Macaca mulatta: one gene and its partners. The protein of the gene in region 1 purifies or fractionates together with the protein of each later gene. This does not show direct contact. Links are inferred from orthologs where the notes say so. Each region holds a gene or a part of one and is shown in the gene's direction. Other genes may lie near its edges.

Region 1 (7,235 bases):
CTTCCCTGTTTCTCATTTCTGATTTCTAAAACTCCATTAGCATGACAGGAAAATCCATCAAAGACACGCGCCTGCTGGCCGGCAGTGTTTTCAGTCTCTGACCACACAGGTTAGGGCCTGACCTCGACCCGGGGCAGCGGTGCGGGGTTGGACTCGGCACATCGGGGCCGTCACGAAAGGGTTGGGAAGCGGTTAGCCATCTGGTTCTCATAATGCCTTTTCGAAATTATTTCTGTGCCCTTGGTTAGAAAATTCCAGATGTGCAGAGCCACAGCAAAGCCCTGACGCCACCCGCTCAGTCTGTAGCAGCTGACCGTGATTTACCAGGAGGGAGCAAGGGTGTGGAGCCGCCTCATGCGGCCCAGTTTCCAGTCCACTGCCTCCTGTGTAGACGAAGACAGCTAGGGCCTGAGATCGACCATGTGGAGAATAAAACTTTTAATTTCTATCTGTTTTCAGGAAAATATCTAAATGTGGTCAGAGAGTGTGGCCATGACGTCACCTGCCCGGTGGCTAAAGAGATCATCTACACGTTAAAAGAGCGGGCGTACGTGGAGCAGATCGAGAAGGCATTTAACTATGCCAGCAAGGTGCTGCTGGACTTCCTGATGGAGGAGAAGGAACTGGTGGCACACCTCAGGTGATTCCCTGCTCTGTCCCTGTGCGGGCGCTCGCCTCCCTCAAACCGGAGCCTGTGGGACGTGGGGCTGAGATCGCTGGGTTTCTTCTGGCAGCTCTGCCTTGTCTTTTTGAAAGTGGGCACTGCCAGATGGTCTCTAGCTCAAGGACCTGGCACGCACAGTCGGTGGTGTAGGCCCCGGGTCACCTTGTCCAGGGGCCCCAGCTCCCTTCCTTGCCCAGGGCCCACCAGCCCTTTCTCGGCTCTTCCTGCCACAGCCTACATGGTGGTCGCACAGCCCCTGCCCGAGAGCCAAGCGCTTAGCCCGTTGTGGTGTGTTTTAGCATGATGGCTGTGGCGGGCACCTGCAGGTGGGACGTGCTCACGCCTGCTCCCTGGCTGTGGCGGGCACCTGCGGGTGGGACGTGCTCACGCCTGCTCCCTGGCTGTGGCGGGCACCTGCGGGTGGGACGTGCTCACGCCTGCTCCCTGGCTGTGGCGGGCACCTGCGGGTGGGACGTGCTCACGCCTGCTCCCTGGCGCAGGTCCATCAAGCGCTACTTCCTCATGGACCAGGGCGACTTCTTCGTGCACTTCATGGACCTGGCGGAGGAGGAGCTCCGGAAGCCGGTGGAGGACATCACGCCCCCCCGCCTGGAGGCGCTGCTGGAGCTGGCCCTGCGCATGAGCACGGCCAACACTGACCCCTACAAGGACGACCTCAAGGTGGGCGGGGGCGCCGGGGGCTGCCACCTCAGGCAGGGGCCTCGGAGGGGCTGGGAGGAGAGCGCAGCAGAGGCCAGCCCTGTCCCCCACTCCCCGCCCGGGTGGGGCAGCCGCGGGGTCTGTTTCCTTCACTCTCGGCTGTGGGGGCTGCTTGCCGGGATCGGGGGTCTTCGCACCTGTGCTCACGAGGGGCGCAGGTCTCGGGTTTTCCCGCAGTGCCCTTGTCAGCCTGGGTGTCAGGTTGTGCTGGCCTTGTGGAATGAGTGTGGACCTGTCCCTCCACCTGCTTTTTGAAAGGGTTTCAGGAGTGGTGTTCTTTTTGTTTTTGTCTTTCTGTTGTTGTTGTTGTTGTTTTTGAGACAGAGTTTCGCTCTTGTCACCCAGGCTGGAGTGCAGTGGCGCGATCTCAGCTCCCTGTAACCTCCGCCTCCCGGGTTCAAGCGATGCTCCTGCCTCAGCCCCACAAGTAGCTGGGATTACAGGTGTGCGCCACCATGCCCAGCTAGTTTTTGTATTTTTAGTAGAGAAGGGGTTTCAGCCGGGGGTGGTGGCGGATGCCTGTAATTCCAGCACTTTGGGAGGCCGAGACCGGCGGATCACAAGGTCAGGAGATCGACACCATCCTGGCTAACACGGTGAACGGCGTGAACCCGGGGGACAGAGCTTGCAGTGAGCTGAGATCGTGCCACTGCACTCCAGCCTGGGCGACAAAGTGAGACTCCGTCTCAAAAAAAAAAAGGGGGGGGGTTTCACCATGTTTCGCAGGCTGGTCTTGAACTCCTGACCTCAGGTGATCCACTCACTTTGGCCTCCCAAAGTGCTGGGATTACAGGCGTCAGCCACCACGCCTGGCCGTTTTTTTTTTTTTTTTTTTTTTTTCTGTTTGTTAATTTTTGTTTTTGATAGAGTCGGGGGTCTCACTATGTTGCCCAGGCTGGTTGAACCCCTGGGCTCGAGTGATCCTTCCACCTTTGCCTCCCCAGGAGTGTGTGGATTCTTGGACGTTTGACAGGGTTTGCCTGGGAGTCCTTGGGCCCTGGGCTTGTCTTTGTTGGAGGCTTTTGAGGCGGACTTGGCCCCTTGCTGGCCACAGGTCTGCTCAGTCCCTTTCCTCTTGGTCGGCTGTTCGTCTCGCATCTCGTCTGGTGCACAGTTCATGGAATTCTAGTTCGGCTTTTTATTTCTGTGAGGCTGGTAGTTATAGCCCTACTTTTTCTGATTTTAGTAATTTGAATGTTCTTTCATCTTAGCTGATGTAGCTGGGAATTTGTCGATTTCATTGAGCTTTTCAAAGAACCAACTCTTGGGTTTTTGGACTGTTTTTCTGTTTTCTCTCTTCTGTCATCTTTGTTACTCTTTCTGTCTGCTGCTTAGGGGCTTAGTGTGGTCTTTTTTTAGTTTCTTAATTTGCAAAGTTAGTTTACAGCTGTAAACATCCCTCTGCGCGCGGCCTTCGCTGATCCCCCAGCGTCCTCATTTCTGTTTGTCTGGAGGTGTTCCTGATTCCCTCTGATTTCTTGTTGGAGCCGTGGGTGGTTTATGTTTAACTTCCACGTTTGTGAATTTTCTGGTTTTCCTTCTGTTACTTGTTTCTAGCTTTATCTCTTTGTGGTTAGAGAACAGACTGTGTGGCTTCAGTTTTGTGAAATGTATTGATTTGTGTAGTGGCCCCACATCCATCCTGGAGAGTGTTCCGTGTGCACGGGAGAACGCGCCCTCGGTTCCGTGTGCGCGGGAGGAGGAGGCGCCCTCGGTTCCGTGTGCGCGGGAGGGAGGAGGACGCGCCCTCGGTTCTGCGTGCGCGGGAGGGAGGAGGAGGCGCCCTTGGTTCTGTGTGCGCGGGAGGGAGGAGGAGGCGCCCTTGGTTCCGTGCGCGCGGGAGGAGGACGTGCCTTCGGCCGCTGTTGGGTGTTCTGCAGTTGGGGTCCTGAGGCCCTGTCTTACCTCACTGATCTTCCGTCGGGCGGTTCTCTCCATGATTAGAAGTAGGGCACCGAGTCTCCCTGTCACTGAAGAGCTGTTTTTCTCCTGTCGTTCTGTCTATTCTTGCTTCAGATATTTTGGGGTCTCTTGTTAGAGCAGGAATGTTAATTGTTGGGTCAAAATATATGGCCCTTGTACAACTAGGCTGACCTTGGTGGACTTCGGTCTCAGGACGCTGGGCCACACAGCTGGGGGCTGCTGTCTGCACACCTGCGAAAGCCCCCGTCTTGTCTGCTCCATGGAGAAGTGACATCAGGGGTTCATTTCTACGTTCCTGATGGTCGGCGATTTCGTCCGTCTGCTGCTTGTTTCTTCTTGCTTTATCCTCTACCCTTCATTTTCTGTCCTGTCGTTGTGTGATGGTTTTGTAGGAACTCTGTCAGGTAGTTGGAACTTAGTAAGTACTTGAATGATTAACGTGAGGACAGTATTACTTGTCCATAATAACTAGTATATCCCTCATCAAATATGCTTTCTTTTTCTTTTTTTTTTTTTTTTTGAGACGGAGTCTCGCTTTGTCGCCCAGGCTGGAGTGCAGTGGCCGGATCTCAGCTCACTGCAAGCTCCGCCTCCCGGGTTCACGCCATTCTCCTGCCTCAGCCTCCCGAGTAGCTGGGACTACAGGCGCCCACCACCTCGCCTGGCTAGTTTTTTGTATTTTTAGTAGAGACGGGGTTTCACCGTGTTAGCCAGGATGGTCTCGATCTCCTGACCTCGTGGCCGCCCGTCTCGGCCTCCCAAAGTGCTGGGATTACAGGCTTGAGCCACCGTGCCCGGCCTAAATATGCTTTATTTTTCAACCTGGGCCTGGTGCTTATCGTGTACTAAGGTTTCCGTCCTAAGGAATCACCTTTCTTTCACCATCCCAAGCGTTTTTCCCTTACACCATCCACAGCAGCATTGGGTATTTACAAAGTACTTCATCTGAATTTCTCTTGTTTTGTTTTGATAGGAAGTGGTTCAGTTTTGAATTTGATTTATCAGTAGACGTTTGGGTTTTCGAAAAGCCTCTGAGGTTTAGAATCGGAATGTAGGGAACCTTATGTCAGTGCTGGGCCTGTGAGCGTGAATGGTGTCGGGATGGGACTTCGCGTCTTTTCCTTAAAACAGGATGCTTTGTTTCATTTCCTTCCCTCCAAGATCGACCTGATGCCCCATGACCTCATCACTCAGCTCTTGCGTGTTCTGGCCATCGAGACCAAGCAGGAGAAGGCGATGGCCCACGCCGACCCCACAGAGCTGACGCTGAGTGGCCTGGAGGCCTTCTCTTTCGACTACATCGTCAAGTGGCCCCTTTCACTCATCATCAACAGGTGCGGGTCGGCCACTCAGGCACTCGCTAGGTGTTCACTCAGGTTTGGCAGAAGCGAGAACTGTGCCACCCAGTGGCCACCTCGTCCCACAGAGGACCCAAGGCGGCTGTCCCCGGCCTTCAGTGCCCGGGGGATTCACGGGCTGTCCGGGGGCCACCGTGCAGACTGTGGAGCACAGACACCGTGTGCACGATGCCACCTGTCATGGAGGCCCGCCTGAGGTGCCACTGCCTCTCTTGCAGGAAGGCCCTCACTCGCTACCAGATGCTCTTCAGGCACATGTTCTACTGCAAGCACGTGGAGCGGCAGCTCTGCAGCGTCTGGATCAGCAACAAAACCGCCAAGCAGCACTCGCTGCCCTCCGCCCAGTGGTGCGTTCCTCCTCTGTCCCCGTGTGCCCTCCTGGTAGACAGCTCTGCTTTCTAGGCTTCTGGAAACGTCATCTGGAAGCGCACGTTTGTAGCTTTAGATCCATAATGCTTCATTTTCCTGTCTTGGGGCTGCGCGGCGCTGCCGTCCACCCCTCAGGGCATGCTGGCTCTGTCCCTCAGCCCTCTCTGGAGCCTTGTGGTGACTGCACGGGCATGGAGACCACCCAGGTCAGTGTGCAGGACAGAAGCTCCTCCCGAGAGCGGGCAGCCACATCTTGCTGGAACCAGAGGTGCTTTGCTGCTGGTCTGTGGCTCTAGGGTGTTGAAAAAAGGGGTCGATGGCAGAGCTGCTTAAGAATTTGTCCAGTCGGGTGCGGTGGCTCCTGCCTGTAATCTCAGCACTTTGGGAAGCTGAGGTGGGAGGATTGCTTGAGCCCACGAGTTTGAGACCAGCCTGGACAATGTAATGAGAGCTCATCTCTTAAAAAAAAAAAAAAAAAATGGAAAATTGTTTTAATGAGCTGGGAATGCCTGTAGTTCCGGCGACTCAGGAGGCTAAGGTGGGAGGATTGCTTGAGCCCAGGAAGTCAAGGCTGCAGTGAGCCAAGATCCAGCCACTGCACTGCAGCCTGGGCGACAGCAAGACCCTGTCTTTCAAAAAAAAAAATTAGATGAAAAAGACGTCATCTCAGTCATGAAGCACAAATGTGCATCTGCCGTGTGGCACCTTCCTGGTGTGGGCTCCTGGGGCTCCAAGGAGTCCGTCCACCAAGGAGCCCGCATCCCAGTCTCCACTGTCCGGCTGGCTGGGGGTGTCCCTGCGGGGCACAGGTTGGTAGACAGTGACAGCTTGTGCTGGGCAGACACAGGAGCAGCGGCCACGTCTGATGGACTGGGAGAGGCACCTGTTTTGCAGAGGAAACAGCCACATCCACTGGGTGCCGTCGGGGCCACGTCCTCCATGGCTGTCCTCCGTCCTCCGTGTCACTCAGGTTTGCCGGGGCTTTCACATTGCGGCAGCGAATGCTTAACTTCGTCCAGAACATTCAGTACTACATGATGTTCGAAGTGATGGAACCGACCTGGCATATCCTGGAGAAAAACCTGAAATCTGTGAGTTTTAGCTCCATAGATCGTAACAATTGAAAGCCAGTTTCCTTTCACATAATTAATGTGAGGGAGACAGGGAGGGCAGGAGAGGCAGGGGAGGGGAGAGGCAGGGGGAGGGGAGAGGCGAGGGAGGGGAGAGGCAGGGGGAGGGGAGAGGTGGGGGGAGGGCAGGAGAGGCAGGGGAGGGGAGAGGCAGGGGGAGGGCACAGGCAGGGGGAGGCCAGGAGAGGCAGGGGAGGGGAGAGGCAGGGGGAGGGGAGAGGCAGGGGGAGGGGAGAGGCGAGGGAGGGGAGAGGCAGGGGGAGGGGAGAGGCGGGGGGAGGGCAGGAGAGGCAGGGGAGGGGAGAGGCAGGGGGAGGGCACAGGCAGGGGGAGGGGAGAGGCAGGGGGAGGGGAGAGGCAGGGGGAGGGGAGAGGCAGGGGGAGGGCACAGGCAGGGGGAGGGGAGAGGCAGGGAGAGGGGAGAGGCAGGGGGAGGGGAGAGGCAGGGGGAGGGGAGAGGCAGGGGGAGGGGAGAGGCAGGGGGAGGGGAGAGGCAGGGGTTCCCTCCGGGGCGGAGCTGTCCCAGCATTGCTGGCCACACAGGGGACCCCTTGCTGCCTGCCATCATCTGGGGACTCTGAGCCGTCATTGCCCCCAGGGTCATCCCTTTCACACTGCGCATCTGAGGCTGAGGGGCCTGAAGGCAGACTCTGTTGTTACCAAATTCTAGAAGCAGCCGCAGCCTCCCTTCCTGTCTTCTGCCTTAAGAACTGAAACCCCTTCGGGACGTGCCCATCATTTTTTTAGTGGTATTTGGAATTTTCCCCCTAAAAGCCCAAGGCCCATTTAAGAGGTGGAAATGCGTGAACAGGAATGCGCAAAGCCCGAACTGAGCACGTGCGCACGCGAAGCCCGTCTGTCGGCCACGTCTTTCTGAGAAGGGGCTTGGTCTGTTCCCCAAAGGCCTCCAACATCGATGACGTCCTTGGCCACCACACGGGCTTCCTGGACACCTGCCTGAAGGACTGCATGCTCACCAACCCTGAGCTGCTGAAGGTCTTTTCCAAGCTCATGTCTGTGTGCGTCATGTTCACCAACTGCATGCAGGTGCGTGGCGTGGGCGGCACCATT
Region 2 (7,665 bases), on another chromosome or scaffold:
CCAAGGTCAAAAGAACTTATCCAGTGTAGCAAGTAACAGTAAAATAAGATAAAGTGACCCGGGCACGGTGGCTCATGCCTGTAATCCCAGCACTTTGGGAGGCTGAGGTGGGTGGATCACATGAGGCCAGGAGTTCGAGATCAGCCTGGCCAACATGGTGAAATCCCATCTCTACCAAAAAAAAAAAAAAAAGATAAAGTGATGAAGCCTTTTCTAATATCCCGAAAAACACTTTTCCTTCATATTACTATTGTGCTAAGCACTAATCACCTATCACACTGTCCTGATATTACTCGTCTAGTATTAGATGAGTAATAGTCTAGTCTAACACATTAAAATAGGGGTTAGTTTCTTTTTATAATAGATTGCAAGCTAAGAATTATTTTGACAGTTTTAAATGGTTGGAGAAAAAAACAAAAAAAAAATCTTGTGACATGTGAAAATTATATGAAATTCAAATGTGTCCATAAATAAAGCTGTATTGGAACAGAGTAACATTTATCTCTTTACACATTGCCTATGGCTGCTTTTGTGATTCAAGACAGAAGTGAGTAGTTGTGACAGAGATCAAATGATCAGTAAAGCTTAAATATTTACTGTCTGGCCCCTAACAGAAAGTTTGTGACTCCTACATTGGAGTATAACCTCCTTAAGGATTTGTGCCTAATGATCCTAACTTGTTCACAGCGTAATCCCTGCTTAGCATTGTATCTGACACATAGCAACACTCAAATAATGTTTGCCAGGTAAGTGAGAACAGAATATTAGATGATGCAGCTTCTTCTCTAACGTATTAGCAGCTATATCATCAACCACAGAATGTAGCTACACCCACAACTGCAGGAAGCTAACATATGTTGTTCTTGAACTTAAAAAAAAAAAAAACTTCTAGCTAACTTATTAACCTAACCACTAGATTATAATGAACACTACAATTTTTAAAAGTACATTGCAGTTATATATGCTCCATCATGTATTTCCTCCTTACCTTGTAAAGACAGATGTTTACATTTAAAATTATTTGTAATTATTTACATTTAAAATTAGTTGTAAACACTAGTCAGGAATAACTTACTGGTAATTTTGTTGATTTAAAAACAGAAGGACTGGCGAGAGTTTGTTCATGGAGATTAGAATAATCACTAGGACTTTCAAAAGGATTTAAAACAGGGATCCTTCCTGGAGTTTCTGGTGTTATTTGCATTTTAGATTCCTTGACATCTCCCATAGCACAGAGAGAAAACTAAAGAGAAATCAAGAGTACATATGTTAAAATTACAAAGTCCCATAGATATTAATTTTACCTATTAAAATGTATTCGACAAATGTGTCACAAAAACAACTCAAAACCTAACACTCTTGGGGCTATGATACAGCTTATGAAAAAAGTATCACATATAAATGTTCTCAACTGATCCTCGAAATAACCTTGAAAGCTATAGCAGTAAGTTATTAGTGATATTATTCTGTGAAAGAATTAACAAGCTCAGAGAAGTGAAGTGGCTTATACGCAGCAATCAAATATGAATTCAGATCTAAAGGTTACAACAGGCACAAATCTCTTCTCAACTAAAGGACTTATAGCTACAATTTTTTTAAAATTCATCATCTCACGTCTCAACACTATGAACATTCTTCGGATACCCCATCCAACTACAGTTGCTATTAAACAATTCTTTGTAGCAAGCAGGTAAGAGATGCAGAAGCTTGTGCCTTTCTTACACATGAGTCCTAGCCAGAGAAGTATGATTGACAGGGGCTAGGAAATTAACTGCCTTGAATCCCCTTTCCTCCAAAAATCCTCCTTTCGCCAAGACCTCCCCCTCACCCCTCCCAGGATAGAAAGCGACTCTGCATTATTTCCAATCAAAGGAGGCTACAACTTGGCGGGGTGGGGTGGAGAAGAGTCTACTTCTGTAAGGTTGAGATGCAGCCGGCTTCCTCGGACGGAGCGCCGAGGAGGCGTCGCCCCCCACCCTACGTGGCCACTCTTTCTGGTGCCCCTGTCTTCCACACCTACTCCCTGACTGCTCCCATTCACCAGGGGCCAGCGGGCAGGCAAGTCAGGAGCTGGGAAAAGAAACCTCTCCATTCGGACAGGAGGAAAGGTCAGGGACCATAAAAAACCTACCTACCGGTGCGTAGAAAACGAAGCCCCCAATACCGACTACAGGGAGCTCCCGGGGGCCAAGCCAGCTTCCACGTCAGGCACAGACTCTTTAACTCCCCGCTTCCGCGCTGTCTTGGGCCAACCAGGGCACGGGGCTTGTGAGCGACTGGCCAATCGCGTCGTCCCGCCATCCGCGAACCAACCAATTGCACGGAGGCCGCGTAGAAAATTCGAATAGCAACTCCTGGCTCCACGTTCCGCGCAGAGGAACGAGGCTCCAAATTCAAATCAACGCAGCCTCACGCCGGCGGCGAGCGCGAGGGGCGGAGCCTGCCCGGCGTGAGCGGAGACGCGCCGTGTGATTGCCCGGGAGAGAGGAAGGCGCTCCAGTTCCGGGTCAGGCCCTTCTCCCGCCTCCCTCGGCCTTAGCCATGGCGAGTAGCAGCGGCGCTGGGGGGGCGGCGGCGGCCGCGGCGGCGAATCTGAATGCGGTGCGGGAGACCATGGACGGTGAGTGTCAGTTGCGCTCCTTTTACGTTGCCTGCCTTCCCAGAGCCAAGGCCCCCAGGCGGAGCTGAGCCTGGGGAGGACTTCAGGTCCCCTTCGTGCCCCAAACGGCATCTTCGAAGATCTTTGGAAGGGACCTGCCAGGGCCGCAGGACTGATGGCCCTATCCCTTGAGAGTTGTCTCCGCCGCTGCGTAGTTTGTCGCGCGCGCCAGACGTTGCGGCCCCCTAGTCAGCCGGTTGCGCACCGCGTCCTTCTCGCGCGAATGCCGCGCCCCTTCTATCCCGCGTCCCAGGTCCGCCCTACCCGCCCGATCTCCTGCGGTGACAGCGCCACGCCCACCCCACCCAGTACACCCGTTCCCTCCTGCGCGCCGCGTCCCACCGGATTCCCGCGCAGGGCGCTTCGGGGGTCCCCAAGGTTGGGATCCCCAAGGTTGGGATCCTGGCGGGGACAGGGGCCAGGTGTTTGGTCACCGCTATGCCTCGTGTTCTTCGCACTTAAGTAGGCGGCCTTTAATATCCTGCGAATGATTAAGTTCCCCCCTTCGTCAGAATTATCCTAGTTTCCTCTTGAAGCGGGTGACGCCAGTGCCCAAGTGCTATGGGTGTCGCCTGTTTTCGGCCCTGGAGCCTACACAAGCTCTGGAGCCTACACAAGCGTTGCAGAACACGAAATTAGTGTCTTGCCGATTACCTTCTCTCTACTCTCTAATGCCACTTTATAACCCTGTGGTGAGCTTGGACTAGATACTTAAACATTGAGCCTGTTTGTTTAAAATAAAATCCTGCCTCCAAGAGTTGTGAATATTTAAATAAGACAACCATGTAAAAATATATCAAAGATGATCAATTATTTTTATATTATTTCCGATGTCATCTCTCTTGTAGTCTCCTTTGTCTCCTTTTTACTCACATCCACCTGTATTATGAGTGTTTGATCGATGTTAAATGTCATTTGCAGTGGGCCTAGACGTTTTCCAGAGGCTACTTAAGTCAGCTTCCCTCTCTGTTAAAAGATAACCCTATGAAATTCTAACTCCTGTATCTCTTTCTCCTTCACTGTAGGCTTTTTTTTTTTTTTTTTTTTTTGAGATGGAGTCATGCTGTGGTTGCCCAGGCTGGAGTGCAGTGGCGCAACCTCAGCTCACTGCAACCTCCGCCTCCTGTGTTCAGGCAACTCTTCCCACCCTCAGCCTCCAGAGTAGCTGGTATTACAGGTGCCCGCTACCACACCTGGCTAATTTTTTTTTTATTTTTAGTAGAGACGGAGTTTCGCCATGTTGGCCAGGTTGGTCTCGAACTCTTGACTTCAGGTGATCCACCCACCTGGGCTCCCAAAGTGCTAGGATTACAGGTGTGAGCCACCACACCCGGCCTCATTTTCTTACATAGCCCCTGCAGAAGGGCTGCTGGCTTTTTCTGCACTGGCTGCTCGTTCCTTTTTCAAAGAATTAACATTTTTAGAGACTTTGCATCTAATTTTTCACTTGTTCAGTATCTACCTTGCTGTTTTTCTGAGAATGTTAATATTCAGCCTATTTTTCTATCCTTTTCGATGTATCAACACTTACTAGTTTTATTTTGTAAGTGAATTTATGCATGTGTATGTGTGTGTGTGTGTGTGTGTGTGTGTCTGTGTGTATAAAAATTTACTATCTTGTATGTTTCCTTGGAAAAAGGTAGAGTAAAAGACCTCACTTCTAGCCTGTTTTCTTATGTTAGCTGTACTTAGGTTCCTTATGTATATGGTCGTAGGATCCTATTTGAATAGAAAACTCACATTTTCTCTCTGGTGGAACCACTGATGTACAATTGAGAACTGATGATTTGTGTTGGCTACATCATCAAGATCTTTTCTGAGAAAACCTGGTGTAAAATGAAGATTATAGAGAGAATAAGAGCATGAAAAAGTGAAGTAAAACAAAAAATGAAGGAGAGGGGATGTGGTGTTTCACAGTATTTAAATCAACCCATGAGATCAAAAGTGAAATTTTCAAAACTTTGAGTACCATTTCTCCTCTCAATGGCAGGATTTGTGAACCCCCCCTTTAAGTCATATGAATTGCAGAACTCTTGGCTACATTTGCATTTTGATCATGAAATGGAAGGATTTTGTTAAAGACATGGGAGGCAGCAGGCTGACTTTGTATTAATCAGTTATCTGTGTAGCTCACTCTGAAAAGAACTATCCCTGCCTATTTAGAATACGGTCTGCATGAGATCTTTGCTTTCATCCTTATATCCTTAAAATTCTGCATTCTCTTAAAATAGTCGTGCCTTTTCAACAACACCCCCCGCCCAACCCACTGTGTATGGTTGCCTCCTTTGCTTTTCAGTTTTTTGATATGTTAGGTATTCTCTGTTGATTGCTTTATACTTTAATTTTTGTTTTCCTCTCAAATCATCCTATGCATCTGAATTTTAATTTTGATAGTTATTCCTTACGAGAGTCTTTATCATAACACTTACTTTTTTTTTTGAGACTGAGTCTGGCTGGAGTGTAGTGGCGTGATCTTGGCTTACTGCAACCTCTGCCTCCCAGGTTCAAGCTGGGGATAGGACCCAATTCTCCTGCCTCAGTCTCTGGAGTAACTGGGATTATAGGCGCCCGCCACCATGCCTGGCTAATTTTTGTATTTTTAGTAGACACAGGGTTTCACCATGTTGGCCAGGCTGGTCTCGAACTCCTCACCTCAGGTGATCCACCCGCCTCGGCCTTCCAAAGTGCTGGGATTATAGACTTGAGCCACTGTGCCCGGCCTGTAGCACTACTTTAAATATATATATAAAGTAGTACTATACTTTAGTACTTATATATAGTATATATATAGTAGTACTATATATATACAGTACTTTAGTATATATATAGTAGTACTATATACATATACACTACCATATATAGTATATATATCTATACATACATATAGTAGTGTGTGCATATATATATAGTAGTATATATATTTGTAGTAGTAAGCTCAGGCACCTGTATTCCCAGCTGCTTGGGAGGCTGAGGCAGGAGAATCGCTTGAACCTGGGAGGCAAAGGTTGCCGTGAGCCGAGATTGCGCCACTGCACTGCAGACTGGGTGACAGAGCTAGACTCCATCTCAAAAAAAAAAAAAAAAAAAAAAGGAAACACATTATAGAGAAAGGAGTTAAGAGAATCTATGGTATATATATTCCATTTGACTAGCACTGCAAGGCAGTGCCAGCAAAAGAAACAGGTAGTCCATGCTACCACCATCAATCCAGTTGCACATTTGAGAAAGAAATCTGGAAGTCTGTCTTGCTTTCTCACCTCCTCTGCCTCCTGTTCTTCACTAAGCTCTTTCAATTCTTGACTCATTTCAGGTTGGCTAAATATCTCCTGATCATACTACCCACCCGTCTTTTATCAAAATTGTGATATAACTGGACTTTTTAAAGATTCATTTGATACTCAGCCAAAAAGTCCTTAAATTGCAAATTTGATCTATTCATGTTCCTATTTTATATCTTCCAATAGCTTTCCACAGTTCTAAGATCTTCACTAGGACTTATCTCATATTTTATACCCATTCACCCCATTAATTACATTGCCTTCACAATAGCAGTTCAGGTCTGTGAATTTATTAAGTTCCCTCTAGTGTAGGAACCATCACACAAGCTGTTTTCTTTGCTCTCACCCATCACCCTTCCTCCTGCCTCTGTATTAGTCTGGTTGATTTCTTCTCACCTTTGATGTCTAAGTGAAATTGTAACTTCTTCAGACAAGTCTTTGCTAAACACTGTGTCCTTCCAAACTTGGTAAGATGCCCTTGTAATTTGTTTCAGAAGTATTCCACTCTTTTTCTTTATTTTACTTATATCTGGAATCAGTTATTACTTTAATGTCTATCTCTCCTCCTGGACTAATATCTGTGAGGACCGGGACCATATCTACCTTGTTCGTAACTGTATTTGCAGCAGTAGCATAATAGGCACAAAATACATACAGTTGCAGGTTGATTATCCCTCATCCAAAAACCTTGGGACATGTTTTGGATTTCAGATTTTTTTTTTTAATATTTTCACATACATAATGAGATATCTTGGGGATGGGACCCAAGTCCAAACACAGAATTCATTTATGTTTTATATATGCCTTATACACATAGCCTGAAGGTAATTTTGTTTTATTCCCTCAGGGATGCCGATGAGCTGTGTATTGAGCACCTGCATTTTGACTTTGATCCATTATATGAGCTGTGGAATTTTCCACTATGGTGTTATGTCAGTACTTAAGAAGTTTTGGATTTTGGAGCATTTCACATTTCAGATTTTGGGATTAGGAGTGTTCAACCTGTACTAATCATATAGTGGGCACTAAAGAAATAGTTTTTGATTACAGGTGATTTGTGAAAATAGGAAGTAAAAATAGGTGTCCATTTGAAAAGAAGGCTTAAAGAAGAAATACCGGAGATGAGATGAACTAAGAAAACAGCATTGAGTTATACGAAGGGAGGAGAAAAGGCAGAGGAGAAAAGCATGAACAAAGGCGTGAAGTCAGGAATAAGCATAGCCTTTATAGGTGGGGGGTCTACCATGAAGAGAACAAACTGGACAGAGAAGGGAGAGAATCAACTGAAAAACTGTTAGAAGCATCATAGAATTCATCAAGGTGACTGGTGATTAAAAAGTGTAATATGTAATGTTCCAGTATACTGATGGTAACCACTTAGAATGTACAAGGGCTAAGTAGAATCCATTTATGAAGACAGTCAAAAATAAAGTGAAGATTCAGTATGGTAGATTGAGCACTTGCTGAAACTCTAAGAATATAAAAATAATAGGAAATAGTAAGAAAATGTATCAGGATAGACCTGTTCAAAAGCAAGAAGGGAAGTCCCCGTTGATTAGGAAAAGAGAGGTTTCCCCCAAAAGAAAGGAGCACATGGGAACCACAACAGGGAATTGTCGGGAATAGAACCTGACAAAGCATGCTACCCTGCCTCACGGAAGCTGGGAGTCAGAAATGTGCCATTTGTCACAGCCAGAGATTGAGAAGCACCGTCCATGTGTTTTTTGG
Region 3 (7,731 bases), on another chromosome or scaffold:
CCCAATGTCCATCAGTGCAAATATGCATTAGCAGTGCTGTTCTGTCCATACAGTGGGCCGTTACCCGGCAAAACCAGGAGCCAGTTATTGACAGTTGAGATAGCATGGATGGATCTCAAAAGCATTGTGGTAAGTAAAAGAAGCCACATGCAAAATATTAAATGCTGTGTAATTCCATTTAGAGGGAATTCTAGGGGCCAGGAGTGGTGCCTCACGCCTGTAATCCCAGCGATTTGGGAGGCAGAGGCAGGTGGATCACCTGAGGTCAGAAGTTTGAGGCCAGCCTGGCCAATGTGGAGAAACCCCTTCTCTACTAAAAATACAAAAATTAGCTGGGCGTGGTGATGGGCGCACCTGTAATCCCAGCTACTCAGGAGACTGAGGCAGGAGAATCGCGTGAACCTGGGAGGCAGAGGTTGCAGTGAGCCGAGATCATGCCACTGCACTCCAGCCTGGGCAATGGAGGGAGAGTGTGTCTTAGAAAAGAAGACAAAATAGAGGGAATTCTAGAAAAGGCAACCAGCAGTGGCAGAAGCTGAGAAGTGGTTGCTGGGAAGGGGCTGGGGGAGGGGTGGCTGCAGAGAGGCATACGAGAATTCCTGGAGTGATTAAAACGCCCTGGGTAATGATTGTTGTCACAATACCATCGCTACACATTTGCCAAAACTTTGCAGGTAAATTACATGCCAACGAAGCCAATTTTTAAAAAGAAGAAAAGGATGCGTTTGAAATCCCAGGTTTTCCCTTTCCAGCTGCACAATTTTAGCCAATTACGTTGCCTCGTTGAGCCTCTGTTTTCTCGTCTGTAACAGGGAACATAAGAGCAGCTGCTTCCCATCATGGCTGGAAGTATTAAATGCGTTCATTCGTGGCAAGGTTTACAGTAATGCCTGGTGAAATCCATATTAGCTATTTATAGGGAGTGTTCCTCTATTTGCGGAGAGGTTTGGGGTAGAGGCACAAAAGATGATCTTACAGGCCAGTTAACCATTCTCATCTCTGAAACGCCCAGCATTTTCCCCACCATGTCTTGGGAGTGGCTTCCTGATGACAGCAGTTCTGTCCACACGAATCTGAGGCTCTCACCCAGCTGTCTTCTCAGAACTGAGCTGCCTGTCCGCTGCCTGTCCCCTGCCAGCGCTTCCCACCACCCCATGGTCATCGTCTACCGGAAAGGCCTTGTGAGCCCCAGGGGAGCAGATACTGGTGCTCTGATTCCACAAGGAGGCCTCTGGGTCTTCCATTTTACCTGCCTGGATGGCTCAGGACTTTCCCGGGCTCTGGGGCTAAAGATTCGGCATCTGAGTTTTAAAACATTTCCCAGCACTTCTCAGAGGTGCCTTCCTGTCCTCGGCACTCCTGTGCTTCCCTGGCCACTCGGGCAGAAGTCATTAGCGCTGCTGAGAAGGGATGAAGCTGGGGTTTCTGTGCACTGAGGCCCTTAATCCGGATGAGATTTTTTAAACTCCCCACAGCCTGCTATGCCAGTTCTATTTCCAGCTGCATCTGCCCCTGGGTCTTCACAGCTCCTCTGGAGGGGATTAGGCAAACCATGCAGCTGCCTATACCCTCACATCTTGAGGGAAATAGTCATTGAATCTCTGACCTCTGGGCTGGCTGTCTCGGACTCTGAGCTGCCAGGGAACCAGGACTTTCCACCCGGTGGGACTGCCTGGGGGCTTTTGAAATGCCCCTGCCTGTCCCCCACTCCCGGAGATGGTGACTTCCTGGGTCTGGGCATTAGGAGTTTGTAAAACTCCCCGATGATTCTTCTGTCCAGTCCAGGCTGAGAACCACTGGTCAGAGGCCTGGGCACATCCCAAGGCTTGTTCAGAATCACGGAGTGCAAGTGACAGAAACAAAAGAGGCTGCTGATTGCCTCACTGAGCAGGTGAAGCCCAGGCTTGACCACTGATTAGGCCAGTTGGACCCAGGAGCTCAGGCCGGAGGATGCCTGCTTCCCTCTGCTCTGTCCCATGGGCCCCAGCAGCCTGGGCCCACATCCTCTCAGTCGGAAGCCGGCTCTCACCAGCTGGCTGGGCTCACAGCCCCACCCTGAAACCAGTAGTGTGGCCCGGGGGGCCCCGCAGGGCTCAGACACCCAGGCCTTGGGTGGTTGAAGGCCAAGAGCTGGGGGCCGTCTGGGAACCACACAGCCTGGAGTGGGAGGGGGTGCTCCTCAAGGGACAATTGAGGCGCTGGCTTTCAGTGGGAGGAAAGGGAATGGCTATGAGCTGGACAGAGCCATTATGTCACCAAGAGAGGCTCTGTGCCCCGGCACCAGGTGCAGACTGTCTGGGCCCAGAGCCTCTGCTGCTTCCCCTCCCGTCCCCCAAACACCAGCCCCTGGCCAGCCTGGCGGCGTTTCCGACTGAGTGTGGCTGTCAGTCCTCTTGCGGGCCTTGCTCCAGCCAGACTCCCGCCTTGGGCCTCTGCCAGCCCGGCACTGATACCCACGGGCAGAGCTGAGACGAAGGAGAGGGCCCCTGGGGAGTATCCGCAGCAGCCAATCCCAGAAGACATCGATGTCAGGTGGTTTCTAGAAATCGAAAGTAGACTTTTCTGAAGCATTTCCTGGGATCAGCCTGACCACACTCCACCCTGGGAGAGGCTTCTGGGTCAAAGGAACAGTCTGCAGAGGGCTCTTGTGGCTGGAAGTGACGGGGCTGCAGCACAGCCATCGCAGCTGCCCCAGCCAGGTAAGCTGCTGCCTCCAGCTCCCAGGTGGGCACCTCTCTCTCTCTCTCTCTCTCTGTTTTGTTTTTTTTGTTTTTTTTGTTTGTTTGTTTGTTTTTTGTGACAGGGTCTCACTCTGTCACTCAGGCTGGAGTACAGTGATGCTATCTCAGCTCACTGCAGCCTCCACCTCCCGGGTTCAAACGATTCTCCTGCCTCAGCCTCCCAAGTAGCTGGGATTACAGGCACGCACCACCACGTCCAGCTAATTTTTGTATTTTTAGTAGAGACAGGGTTTCGCCATGTTGGCCAGCCTGGTCTCAAACTCCTGACCTCTGGTGATCTACCCGCCTCGGCCTCCCAAAGTGCTGGGATGACGGGCGTGAGCCATCGCGCCCGGCCAGGGCACCCCTCTCTCTACACAGGCAAGTGGGGGTCATGCCTCCCTGTTTGCACATAGGCCTGGAGCTGGGGATCCAGGGCTCCTGAGCCCAGCAACAGTCATTGCTGCTCCCAGGCCCACAGGACCTCTGTGTGCAGTTGGGCAGGTGGCTCACTGCACGAGGATACCAGCCAGAGGGCGAGTGGGTTAGAATCCAGGTTGGCCTCTCTCGGGCCTGTGCATTTGGCCTAGGCCTGCACCCACTCCTAGGAAGAGCACCTTTTTTTCTGATTTGCATGAAGGGGCCAACACAGGCAGCCGGGTCTCAACTCCCCGTATGAAGGAATCAGGCAAAAGTCGCCAGCTGCTGCCACCCAGAGGGCGGAACGCCACCTGCCAGGTGCTTCGTTGCCCGCTTTTTTTTTTGAGACGGAGTCTTGCTCTGTCACCCAGGCTGTAGTGCAATGGCTCACTGCAACCTCTGCCTGCCAGATTCAAGCAATTCTGTTGCCTCAGCCTCCTGAGTAGCTGGGACTACAGATGCGCACCACCACGCCCAGCTTCTTCTCCTTCTTCTCCTTCTCCTTCTCCTTCTTCTTTTGTATTTTTAGTAGAGGTGGGGTTTCACCATGTTGGCCAGGCTGGTCTCGAACTCCTGACCTCAAATGATACACCTGCCCCAGCCTCCCAAAGTTCTAGGATACAGGCGTGAGCCATCGCGCCTGGCCACTTGGCCATTTTTCCAAGGCCCTGAGTTACTCTCCCAGGACGGACAAACCTGGTGGCTGCAGCGGAGTGAAGTGGCTGGGGACAGAAGTGGAGAGGGCGTCCACCCATACCGGCGTGCCTGGGACTGAGGGTTTCCCAGGACACAGGGAAACTTCAGTGCTAAAACAAGCACAGTCCCCAGCACACAGGACAGGCAGTCACACCCTGGTGTCTTTAGCCATCTACTGACATTGACGCAGGGAGGAGAGGTGGGCTCCACCGAGCAGACCCCCTGCCTATGGCTGTGGACGTGGAGCCCATTTACCTCTCTGGGTGTCAGCTTCTTCACTTGTAAGGTGGGGTGTAACTAAGGTGGTTCTCAAGGTCACGGTAAGGCCTCCAGTGGTGCCTGGGGAGCCCTGATAAGGGGTGGCTGCGCAGTGCCAGTGAGCGTGAGTCCCAGAGCAAAGCTCTCACCAGCCAGGGCACCCAGCTCCCAGGGTGCTTGTTCATGCAGACTCCCATGCAGAGGGGCTAGGGCGAGGCCAGCCATGACAGCACTTCCAACAAGCTCTGGCGATGCCATTGCAGCCGTCCACCAGGCCCCCTCTGAGCAGCCTCAAGGTCACCAGGCCCAGACTCCCAGCCGGTGCCCACAGCAGTGCCACCCAGAGGCCTGCCCCTGGCTTGCTGAACTGAGGGGACAGTGTCAGGTGTCACAGGATTCTTACCGAGCCAGAGAAGCCATACCTGTCTCTCCATTGGCAGGGTGTGGGGGAGGGAGGTAGGCGAAGACAAAAGCGTGGAAATTACACGGAGGCAAGAACACCAGGCCAGAAGGCGGAGACCCGGACCTCCCCAACCGCAGCCTGAGTGTCAGTGTCTTGGGGATACTTCAGCATTTCCTCCCCGTTCTTCCCCCAGCATGGCCCACCCTGGGCTGCAGCCCTGACCCTTTTCCCCTATCTTCCCCATCCGAACACCATGGAGCCCCGATGTGTCTCCTTGCTGCTTATCTGTCACCCCGGCCCAGCCTCCGTGGCCTCTCCTGACGAGTCCCCTCCCATCCACTCTGCAGGCTGCCTTTGCCTGCTTAGGCCTCTGGGACAGTCCCTGTGGGGGTCTGTTGCCTGAAGATTAAGGCCCAGATCTTAACCAGGCTCACCCGGCCTCCCGACCTCGGCCTGTGCCCATGGCCTCCTCCCTCTCCACCCTCCCCGCCCATGCCCATGTGGCGGCCTTGCCCGGGGCCTGGTTTTTTGAGATGAGCTCACTTGCCTCTAGTCACCGATTCTTGCTGTCCTTAACTGCCAGGGGGTACCCCCAGCCCACCCCTTCATCTAGCCAAGTCTTACACATCCTTCCAGGAGCATGCTGCAGACCAGGTGAAGGGGCCCCTGTGGGGCGCTTCCATAGCACCCATCACACTTACTGGGACCACAGTGGGCTCTGCAGGAGAGGGATCCCGCCTGCCACACAGCCCAGGTCGGGCTGAAGGGTTAATGGGCAGGCCGGTCCCCGGGCTTCGGGCCACCTGGCTCCCGTGCCTCACTCTGCCGCTTCTGTCTGCAGCAGGATCTGGGCATCCAAGCACCGCCATGGCCCCTCCGAGGCTCTTCTGGGTGTGGTTGCTGGTCGCAGGGACCCAAGGTGAGCTGAGCCCCTGGGAAATGCCAAAAGCAAAAGTCTGTGAGGCTGCTGCAGCCTGGGTCTGTGCAGAGCTTCAAGGAGATGCTCTGCCTGGGGCCCGGGGCCCAGCGGTTAGCCAGGTCTTCTCTCCTGCCTGCGGCACCAGGTATCCCAAGTGATGGTGGCTTGGAGGTTCCAGGGGGCTCACCTGGGCTCAGGTGAGATGCAGGTTATAGATAGGACACTAAGGAGTCCTCCATTCTGTCCAGAGGGAACCAGAGGAGCTGGTCAAACCAGCAGTCACCGGGGCTGTGGTGAAGTCAACGGCCTCGGACGCAGGTCAATCTTCCAGAGGGTCCTGGCTGCTTTTCCTCACATCCTTTGCACTGTGAGCCCCTGGAGGCTCACGCTCATCCTGGGGGCCCCACGGAAGCCAGATGTGCCCCCAGCTAGATTCAGGCACCCAGCTCCTGCCCGGCTCTGTCAGCTCCTATAGGGGCTGGAGTGTCGGCAGGCTGAGTCCCAGAAGGACGTGTGGAGTGGGAATCCCATTCTCTGCCCTGGAAACATTCCGCCTGTGCTCCCAGGGGTCCCTAGGCCTGCGCCCCCACAGGCCAGCACCCCCAAACTGCAGACACCCTCGGGCGGGTCAGCACAGGGCCTCCATTCCCCCACGATCCTTCCCCCGGGGTCTTGCCACCTCCATTCCCAGTGCTTGAGAACCTGGGGCTTCTCTGCCCCTGTTCTGTCTATGGAGTGAAGGGCTGAGACCCCTAAAACAAGGAAAGGCGAGTTTAGCCTCCGTGGGGCAGGGGGCTGTATGTATCTTCCACTCCTCCCTCATGGAGAGGCCAGGGGACCTTGAAACCCTGGAAAAGAAGCTCAGCAGGGGAGACCCAGGACAGCATGGGTCCTGGAGGTGCGGGCGGTGGGTGCCGCAGGCCCCAGCCTGGCCCTCGCTCGTCTCTACCTGCAGGCATGAACGATGGTGACATGCGGCTGGCCGATGGGGGCGCCACCAACCAGGGCCGCGTGGAGATCTTCTACAGAGGCCAGTGGGGCACTGTGTGTGACAACCTGTGGGACCTGACTGATGCCAGCGTCGTCTGCCGGGCCCTGGGCTTTGAGAACGCCACCCAGGCTCTGGGCAGAGCTGCCTTCGGGCAAGGTAGGGCCTGCTGTCCCCGTCCTCCAAAGCCGAGACCCACAGCACAGCCAGCTCCCAGGCAGGGCAAATTCCCGAAGATGAGACAGTCAGGTTTCAAAGACATGCAAATTGGATTACTATTAATTTAGCAAGAGCAAACAAACAATTTTTTTTTTTAAACGGAGTCTTGCTCTGTCACCCAGGCTGGAGTGTAGTGGCACGATCCCGGCTCACTGCAACCTCGGCCTCCTGAGTTCAAGCGATTCTCCTGCCTCAGCCTTCTGAGTAGCTGGGATTGCAGGTACTTGCCACCATGCCCGGCTGACTTTTGTATTTTTTAGTAGAGAAGGGGTTTCACCATGTTGGCCAGGTTGATCTTGAACTTCTGGTGTCAAGTGATCCGCCCGCCTCAGCCTCCCGAAGTGCTGGGATGACCACACCCGGCCTAAGAGCAAACACTTTTGATGGCGCTGAAGCCCTGTGGATCAAGTTCCGGTGGGACTGCGTCACCCACACTTGGCCGGTGACGGTGGCAGGTGCTTGGGCAGGTTCAAGAGCTGGGCTGGGCTTGTTCCCTCCGGCCCAGAAACTCCACTCCAGGAGTTTATCCTCTTGAAACAATTTCCCCTCAAAAGAAAAGTCTGTATGCAGGAAGATTTCCACTAACACAGCAGTTGCAATTCTGGAAAAAAAAGAGAAACAATCCACCAACTATTTTGCAGCAGGGATAGTCACACAAATACAGTATGTGCGCCTGATGTTGCAGGGACAGGCACGCAATTACTGTACATGAACGTGATGTTGCTGCAGGAGCCAGTAAGCTTTGTAAGCATGAAGGCTAAGTTTATGGCCTGACGTTGCAATCACAAACCCAGCCCTTGCTGGAATATCCACCGTGGTTCGCCGGTGAAGGACCTGTACGCAGACGGACCCGCACGGCTGGGGCGCGGAACAAAGGGCTGAGTCTCGCTGTGGGACTCCTAGGTGCAGTCATCACACCCCCAGCCCTGCCATCTGCTGTGTCCACAGGATCAGGCCCCATCATGCTGGACGAGGTCCAGTGCATGGGAACCGAGGCCTCGCTGGCTGACTGCAAGTCCCTGGGCTGGCTGAAGAGCAACTGCAGGCACGAGAGAGACGCTGGTGTGGTCTGCACCAATGGTGAGCACTTCCCTGCGGAGGCCCCAGC

Evidence for each region. The genes of interacting proteins can lie anywhere in the genome.
Region 2: the proteins of TUBGCP2 (region 1) and MZT1 purify together in Homo sapiens (affinity purification with mass spectrometry; 4 studies listed by BioGRID and IntAct, counting the BioPlex papers as one, with this or other methods). This does not show direct contact. The link is inferred for Macaca mulatta from reciprocal best matches to the Homo sapiens genes TUBGCP2 and MZT1.
Region 3: the proteins of TUBGCP2 (region 1) and LGALS3BP purify together in Homo sapiens (affinity purification with mass spectrometry; 3 studies listed by BioGRID and IntAct, counting the BioPlex papers as one, with this or other methods). This does not show direct contact. The link is inferred for Macaca mulatta from reciprocal best matches to the Homo sapiens genes TUBGCP2 and LGALS3BP.

The regions. Positions count from the first base shown.
Region 1 is NC_133414.1:145,381,566-145,388,800, reverse strand, and holds part of TUBGCP2 (gamma-tubulin complex component 2), read left to right. Parts: intron 1-459; coding exon 460-640; intron 641-1,164; coding exon 1,165-1,345; intron 1,346-4,468; coding exon 4,469-4,641; intron 4,642-4,883; coding exon 4,884-5,012; intron 5,013-6,004; coding exon 6,005-6,125; intron 6,126-7,067; coding exon 7,068-7,211; intron 7,212-7,235. UniProt on the Homo sapiens protein: Component of the gamma-tubulin ring complex (gTuRC) which mediates microtubule nucleation.
Region 2 is NC_133422.1:67,478,317-67,485,981, reverse strand, and holds the start of MZT1 (mitotic-spindle organizing protein 1), read left to right. Parts: upstream 1-2,498; 5' UTR 2,499-2,541; coding exon 2,542-2,620; intron 2,621-7,665. Other genes in the region: BORA (protein aurora borealis), read right to left, coding at 1,076-1,228. UniProt on the Homo sapiens protein: Required for the recruitment and the assembly of the gamma-tubulin ring complex (gTuRC) at the centrosome.
Region 3 is NC_133421.1:88,659,553-88,667,283, reverse strand, and holds the start of LGALS3BP (galectin-3-binding protein), read left to right. Parts: upstream 1-2,564; 5' UTR 2,565-2,699; exon of another isoform or gene 2,700-2,724; intron 2,725-5,338; 5' UTR 5,339-5,364; coding exon 5,365-5,416; intron 5,417-6,371; coding exon 6,372-6,621; intron 6,622-7,467; coding exon 7,468-7,703; intron 7,704-7,731.